2 linked regions of the Drosophila melanogaster genome follow. The protein of the gene in region 2 interacts with the protein of the main gene of each other region in a pairwise test. Each region holds a gene or a part of one and is shown on either strand. Other genes may lie near its edges.

The links.
Region 1: the proteins of CG13625 (region 2) and kin17 interact in a two-hybrid assay, tested with the Drosophila melanogaster proteins (one large-scale study listed by BioGRID).

What each region holds. Positions count from the first base shown.
Region 1 is NT_037436.4:20,354,763-20,358,842, reverse strand, and holds kin17 (kin17), read right to left. Parts: upstream 2,037-4,080; 5' UTR 1,947-2,036; coding exon 975-1,946; intron 903-974; coding exon 702-902; 3' UTR 512-701; downstream 1-511. Other genes in the region: CG5665 (uncharacterized protein), read right to left, coding at 1-66, 136-331; CG5618 (uncharacterized protein), read right to left, coding at 2,310-2,498, 2,563-3,538, 3,856-4,043.
Region 2 is NT_033777.3:24,582,511-24,587,025, reverse strand, and holds CG13625 (uncharacterized protein), read left to right. Parts: upstream 1-1,865; 5' UTR 1,866-1,945; coding exon 1,946-3,889; 3' UTR 3,890-3,959; downstream 3,960-4,515.

The DNA.
Region 1 (4,080 bases), on a different chromosome or scaffold from region 2:
AATGCATCTTCCTTATGTCCGGAGTGATTTGCGCAGGGATTCTGTCCATAAAGAGGGTGGAAGAACCTGGCATTTAGATCACAATAAAATCAAATAACTTTTTATATGTTGATAAACACAGGACGTTATCCTTACACACAGCATCAATTATGTTGGAAGCCAATTCAAGTGGAGCAGCTGTGAGTATGTTCGCCTTAATGGTGGCGATGTCAGTTAAAAGTCTAGGCACTGCATCCCACCAGCTTCGCGTCAACCTTCCCTCTTCGTCAACAGCTATATCTCCCAATGCTCCGAGGCGTAATAGGATAACAATGCCACACAGAATCCTCATATCCCTTCTTTAGCACACCGATGCTGGAACTAGTTTAAGTTTTGCAAGTATAGAAATTATCGCTAGTAAAGCGGCCATTGTTCGCTGGTTTTATTGTTCCCAAACTGAACTCGAAAATATTGTTTGCATACCCACTGAAATATTCGTACACTGAGTAAATGAGAGTGTTCTAGTTATTTTCATTAAAAAGTCATGTTTTATTAACCCAAATGCTGAGCAGTCCAAATTTAAGTAACGAACGTATTATGTGCAGATTTTTGTCTAGTTCGATTTCAGCCTTTCTCCGAAATGGTTAAGATTTTTTACTTACATATATATCAAATTAGGCATAAAAAGGTACAACTATAGAATTTAACTTAGAAAAGCGCAGCTAGGCGCCATGTAGTTTAGATATATCTTCGTATTGCACGTTGTCTACAATTCTGCCTTTGAGAGGACCGTGCAATATTTCCACGCTGACTGAATATCTGCGCTCGTCCAGTTTCCTTAGCAGAGCCTCGGATCCCCGATAAGCGCCATTAACCACCATGACAGGCTTGTCCAAAGCGGGGATTACCGTCTCCAAATGAGCCTGGAAAACAAAAAAAAATAAAAACACCTGGGTAAATATCCGTTATAGATTAAAATTGGGTTTCCATCTTACTTGATCCACTTTTAGCTTTTCCCCAGTCTCCAAGAACTTGATTTTGCCCTGATATCTGTCAATTACGTCCAGGACAACCGCTTTTTGTTTGAAGAACTTTTCGCCCATGGATTTGGAAATAAATTTGACCACGATACCCTTGTGCAGCCAGTAGTCCTTGCGGTTGGCACGCTCCTTTTTGCTTTCCTCCTGCTTGATGATCTCGTCCAGCACCGACCGCGTTTGGCTGTCTCCAGCCACGGATTTGGGTTTCTTGAACACCTTTTCTTCAGCTTCAGGGGCAGGTCGCTTGGCTAGAGCGGATTTCCCTAGCACAGTGTCAGGCTGGAACTTTTTCTCAAGGCGAATATCAAGCTTGAGTGGTTCGTTCTCTTCGCGCTTTAGCTCGGTGAACTTCTCCTGGCCTTCGTCCTCCTCGCCGTCCTTGGCCTTGGCATTTTTAATCTGCTGCTCAATGAAGTCGGCCATCCGCTCCTCGTCGTCCTTCTCCATCTTCTCCTTGCGATCAGCCTTCGCCTGTCGTTCCATGGCCTCTGGACTGCGATCAATGTAGGTGACGAACCAGCCCTTCTCCGTCTCATCCGCTATCACTTGCCCAGTCCGGCCCAGCCACTTCACGTAGTCGGACAGGGTGAGCCATCGGGTGGCGTTCATGTGGATGTGCTCCTTGTGGGCAATGTACTCCTGGTAGATCTTGTTGGCGCTGGTTCGCTTCGTGCCGAACCGCCGGCGCAGCAACTCCATGTAGCCGTCGGAGAACTCTTTGCTGAAGCTGTGCAGGAATTTGCCAGGATTGTCCGCAAAGAGGAGCAACTGGCGCTGGTGGGACTCGCTCATCGTGTGGCACTTGAAGCCGTTTTCATCGCGGCACTGCTTCTCGCACATCTGGCAGTACCAGCGCAGCTTCTGCAGACCCTTCGATTTCATCTTGTTGGCGAGGTACTTGGGCGTACCTACCTCGGCGCGACCCATCGTAGCGTCTTTTTATGTGCGTGGTTTTACAAATAATTTCTCAACAAAAACTTATTGTTTTGATCTCACGTAAAGGTATGACCGCGCTGGGGTATAACAACAATACCCGTGAACACTTTTATCGATAGTTACTGCTGGGGGATGTTCGTGTGACCAGGCTAATATTATTTGTTGATAGCGGTAGAAAATGAATTTAAAAAACTTAATATTCATTTCTTGAAAGATTTTTATTTAAATATTCAAAATAGAGATTAAGCCGAGTTTACATAATAAAGGCGTATTTTTTATCACAAAGTAATAACTACAATGAAATGTACAATTGAACGATTTCCATTAATTAGCTTAATTCACATAGAAAATAATTCAAAGCACAATTTTCTCGCCCAATCTCTCAATTTCGTCCAAAATGAAGTCCAACTCTTTGCTTTTCAGGATGGGAAAACAAGTGAAGACCATGCGAAAGAAGTTGCCCAGATTTTTAGCTTTAAGAGGCGAGTAACCAATCATCAAAGTGCCGCTGTGGGCCATTTGCTCCTTAATTTTCGGGGCCACCTTTAAAGGAGCATATAAAAATGTGAGCTTAAATGGTCTATCAAAGCCATTGTTATTCACTTACAGTGTAAAGTCGACTCCACCATTCAGGCGTCTCCTCCTCGCTGGACACCCTCATTGCTTTCGGAATGAACCAAAAGCAGACATTGGAGTACTCGTGCTCCGGGATCACCAGTCTAAAGCGATCTCCACGCTGGCGCAGCTTGCCTTCCAGCAACCTGGCGATGTGGATGGCGTGGTCCACCATGAGTCCATACTTTCCATATCCGCGAGCCTTAAGCATTAGCCAGAACTTGAAAGCGTCGATCTTGCGGCCGCACTGGACACTCTTGTTTCCCGTATCGTAGGATACATCATAGAACTTGTCCTGCTGGAACAAATAGTGCGCCTCGGTGCTGTTGCATCTTTCCAGCAGACGGCCAGATTCCCTGGTCAAAAAGAGTGAACACTGCAATGGAGCGCCGATGGTTTTGTGCGGATTCCAGGAAAACGAATTCGCCCGCTCGAGGCCGGCAATGAGCGATCGGTTCTTGGCGGAGAGTAGTGCAGCGCCTCCCAGACAGGCGTCCACATGGAGCCACAGACCATGTCGTTCCGTCACATCCGCCGCACCATTGATATCATCAAAGGCACCCAACACAGTGGTGCCTGCAGTACAGTTGACAAAGAACGGTTCACCGCCACGTGCCTTTGCCTCTGCGATCTTCGCCTCCAGGTCGTCCAACAGCATCTGACCCCGCTCATTGGTCCTCACCGACACACAGTTGTAGCTGCCCAATCCCAGCCAGTTGGCCGCCTTCACGAAGCTGTAGTGCGACTCGTCGGAGGTAAAGAGCACCAGCGGTCGCATTCCAAACATTCCAGACGTCTTCACCTCGGGCGCGATCTTATAGCGGGCCAGAACCATGCCGTACATGTTGGAGGTGGAGCCACCGGGCGCAAAGATGCCATCGCCTTCCTTGTATCCCGCTAACTTGCAGATGGTCGCGATCACCTCAGTTTCGATCAAGCTAAACACGGGCGCAACTTCGTAGGTGTATCTGAAACAAAAGTTTATTGTGTCTTGTTGGATACCTCGGTTAAAAGTCTGATTTTGGTAGTCCTATCTAGGAAATCTCATCTAAATGATTAATAACTTGCAATGATTGTGTATGAACTCTGCTTAATCCCCATTTAAATTAATCGAAAGGGGGGGGGGGGGGTTATGAAACATACATGTAGTACTTTGCAATCTCCATTACATAGCGCAATTATCTGTACGTTGAACCCCGACACCACTTGTAGATTGGAACACGAGATGCAATCAGCGGTCACTCATATAGACAAGACACATGTGTGGAATAAGGCGCAGACTTACGTGCTGCCGTTCATGGCCTCGGTGACCAGGGCTCCTGCCAGTCCAAACGGGTCCAGCTGGCCAAAGAGCTGATTGTGGAAGCGGCCGTGCGAGGTTTTCACAGAGTAATGGATCACCTGCTGGCACAGCTCCTCGATCTCCGCGAGCGAGCAGTTTTCCGTCTCTCGAACCTTCAGGTTAATCAGTTCCTGGAAGTGATGGTGCGAAATCATGTAATCTCAAGAT
Region 2 (4,515 bases):
CACACTATGTACGTATATGTATCAAAAATGTTTGCTATATGAGCGCACGCGGTGTATGCTTCAAAGGTAAGAACATAGTTATTTTAACTAAAATGGTTAAGGAATGGCACTCCGTTAACTTTCGAAAGTCATCGAAAGCGGAATGTGGGCGGTAAGTGCTGTAAGCGCAGACTCAAACCTTTGTAAAGAATTTCGAAAGGAATTTGAATTTATACACAACTATGCGGCGGGACAGAGAGGGCGAGCGAGTGGGAGCGAGACAGCAGCGGCATGGAGAGCACGTTGAAAAAATCAGCTGTTTGTGGGACAGCACCAAAACAGAAACAGAGATGGCAGAAGTAGAGCGCGGCAGACAAAGCAGCGAGAGCGAGAAGGAGACGCGCGTAAGAGCGAGTGCGTCAGAGCGAGAGATAATGAAGATGGCAGGGGGAGGGTAAGGAGGTTAAGCACGCCGTGGGCTTTAAATTTCATGAATGCGAGCGCAAAAAACTGGGCAAAAAGAAATGCGAACAATGCAGAAAAAGGGGTAATGGAGAGAACGCAACCAAAACAACGGAATATAATAAGAGCGCTTTAAAAGCTCAGTTAAGCGAATTAATTTGCATGCCATTCGCGCGTTCTTGCACTCAAAATGTGAATATGTGGGTGCCCCCGACCCTTTGCTTACCAACACCACCGCCCCGCCCCCCCCGCTTCGCTCCTCCACAGCCCTTTTTGACTTTCCCCAACGCTTTTCCTGCCAATTGTTGTTCGTCTCGGGCATTGTTGCTGCGTGCTCTTTGTTTTTGCGCTTCATTTCATTCGTCACTTAAACACCCCTCGTCACTTAGTGCCCCCTACCCCTTCCCCATCAGACCCACTGCCCCCCTGCCGCACAAAATGCAACATCCTGGCAGCCATGTGATGCCAATGCCGATTCCCTATGCCGATTCCACACAAAAAGGCTGCAGTAAGAGCCCTCGAGGACTTTCCACTTAGTCTCCTGAAGAGAACGCGCCACTTCAGAGTTTTCAGGAAGTAAGACAAATAATTGCCGTGGCTCGATTTAATCCGCCATTTAAGCGCATTTAAGCCGCTTATTCGGCTGCTTAGTACTTACGTTTTCTAGGAAACAGAAACATTCACCCGAAGTTAATCCGCCGCCGATAACGCCGCCGCCAGCAAAATAAGGCCGGCGGCCCAATTAACAACGCCCATGCAACACGATAATTAGGTGCAACTTTTCTCTTCTTCGATCACATAACGAAAGTTAAATGTAAATGGGCTTTGGAATTCACAAATTTTTACGAAATTTTCTTTTCTATGCGTTTCCTGCGAAATTTCTCTCAGCGGAAAACACGCTGTGGCGAGTTTGAAGGCTTCACCAGGAATTTGTTGACTTGTCAGTGCGCCTCGAAGTTAGTGATGCGCAGGCGAATGGCCGCAAAAATAATCGCATGAATTTGGGCAAATTGGTAAGCAGAGTGCACTCGTCTATTGATGAGCAGCAGTTTTATTCAGGCAATTAGGTGCATTGAAAACTTCCAAGTGTAAATATTTACCTTAATTCCATAACATAACTGCCTTATCGAATGCTTTTGGTTAACAGTTAGTCACTATGGCGCGCAGAATAATTGATTTAAAAATTTGAAGCGCAATATTACGTTTTAAGAATGTAATGATCAATAAATGGCAAGAAATCAAATCTACATAATAATATATGCTATCATATTGAAGAATGTAATGAAAAACAAGCTTAGTTTATATAATTAATTAAATGACAAGTGCATACACGCTGGCGTTGCCAGACTGCTGCACATTGTTAACTGCGTGCTGTTAAGCGCAGCCTAACAGCACTCAAGCAGTGCGTGGCATTTCGACACATACTATGAACGGTAACATTGAGCACATAAAAAACGTAAACAATTCATTGTAAATTACAATTTCCCGCTTTTATTGCACAAAAATGTCCATGCAAAAGGCCAAAGTCATCGACCAGAAGGAGTACCTCAAGAAGTACCTATCCGGCGACAAGGAGAAGAAGAAGAAAAAGAAGGAGAAGAAGCACAAAAAGAATTCGGCCAACACCAAAGTGAAAATCATCGATGACGACGCCTACGAAAATGATAATCTGGAAATGGACGAAGATCTACTGCTGGGCGGCGAGGATGCGCCTCAAATTGTGGGCGAGTACATCGAAGAGGATCCCAATGTGCGCAGCAAGTGGCGCAACATTGCCGTCAAGGATGAAATCAAAGAAGAGCACGAGGAATCCTCGCCAGCAACTGGCATTCGCATCAAACAGGAGCCCTTGGATGAGGAGCAGGAGATGTGGGGACGCAAGGCGACAGTTGTTAAGGTTAAGGATGAATTCTCACCATCCAGACGAAGTTCACCCGTCAGAATTAAGCAAGAAAAACGCAGCAGCTCTAGGGATTTAAGCCCAGCGAGATCGAGTAAGCCAGCAAAGCGAGAAGAGAGTCCTCAAAGGGGGCGAAGAAGGGCGGGAAGCTCAGATCAGAGTCCCACCAGACGAGGGCGAGATGGCGATCAGTCTCCGCCACGCCAAAAGCACAGGGATTCCGATCAGAGTCCACCCCGAAAGGCCAGGAATGGCAATCAATCGCCAGTCAGAAAAAGGCGGGATTCCGACCAAAGTCCGCCAAGAAAACGAACGGGAAAAGCATCACCCACTCGAAGGAGAAGGGATTCCGATCAATCGCCACCCAGACGCCGCAGAAGTAACTCCGATCAGAGTCCGCCAAGGCGACGTAGAGACAAGGATTCAACTCCGCCCAGAAGGAGGAAAGATTCCGATCAAAGCCCACCTCGAAGGCGTAAAGCAGACGATCAATCTCCGGTGCGAAGGGAAAGGAAAGACTCCGACCAAAGTCCGCCTAGGAAACGGAGAGACAATGACCAGTCTCCAGTGCGAAGGAGGCGGGATTCAGATCAAAGCCCGCCCCGAAGACGCAGAGATGACAAGCAAACGCCGCCAAGGAGGAGAAGAAACTCCGATCAAAGCCCGCCAAGAAGACCCAAGGATGTAGATCAATCGCCACCGCGAAGAAAACGAGACTTCGACCAAAGTCCAACCAGAAAACGAGACAAATCACCACGCAGACGTCACGACTCCGACCAAAGCCCGGCCAGAAATCACAGAAGTCGAGAGCGCAGTCCACCGCCTCGTAATCGCTTCAAGGAAGAAAGGAAAAGTCGCTGGGCCAAGGCATCGCCCAGCAAATCAGCATCTCCACCTCCGACACACAAGCCGAAATCCACCAAGACACTAGATGGCAAGAAAGCTGGACTGCAGGATGCGAAATCGCTGAAGAAGGAAACCGACGAAAGGCGTCGACAAGAACATGAACTATTCGAGAAAATGTCCAGCGAAATTTCCGGTCGTGATGGCGATGTGCAGGTGCGCAGTACTCGCAGAAAGGGACACCGAGCACGAGATGCCGCCAATGAGGATCCCGCCGAGCAGGGCCGCAAAGAGGAGCACGAGAAAAAGAAGAAGGAACTGTACGATCGCTGGGGCAAGGGGTTGAAGCAAATAGAAGATCACAAGTCCCGCCTGGAGGAGATGGTCCATGAGGCCTCCAAACCGGTGGCTCGCTATGCCAACGACGAGGATCTGGACAGGCATCTGCGCGAACAGGAGCACGCCGACGACCCGATGCTGGAGTACATGCGCCAGAAGCGCAAGAAACGCGACCAGCAGGACAACAAGCCGGTGATGCCCAAGTACGAGGGCAGCTTTCCGGAGAACCGATTTGGCATCCGACCAGGATATCGCTGGGATGGCGTCGATCGATCCAACGGCTACGAGCAGCGTTGGTTCGACAAACAGAACGAACGGCGGGCCGTGCAGGATGAGGCCTACAAGTACAGCGTGGAGGATATGTGAATGTTGCAAGCGTTGTTTGCTTTCGTGTTGCAATAAAGATGTAGGCACTGCCTGTAAAAAAGAAAAGAGCAATTACATTGATCGTTTTCTTTGTTTTATTGAATTATTTTGGAAAATAAAGAATGTAAATAGGTAATATAATATTTAATATTTATTTACAAAAATTTGATTTTCGAAATGCCCGCCACTTTCCCGCCAAATCGACGTGCCACCTGCAACACTGGTCGCCAGCGCAATGCAACCCTGTGTGTAGAATAGCGGAGCAAAAGCGAATGGTAAATAGTCTTCATCTACACCTGCGACCTGCTCGTCGCTCCCAAAAAATCGTTTCAAAACCACGGAATAAACCGTGTAACTGGGGAAAACCCATTGTAATTATCAAGTTTAAAGTGTGCCGCACATTTTGGCTTCAAAACCAGAATAGGTAAGTGACATCATCTGCTAAATAGAAGCATTCTAAGATTTTTGCTTTGTAAGCAATAGAGTATCGATGTGTGTGTGTGTATGTAAATGGTTCTGCTTTTGGTTGCTTTGTTGCTGCTTTCGTTACAGCGAACAAAGCGTAAGCAACTGTATATGTGTATCGAGTGGGACGCCAGTGGTGTGTGTTTGTTGCCCCGCCCCCA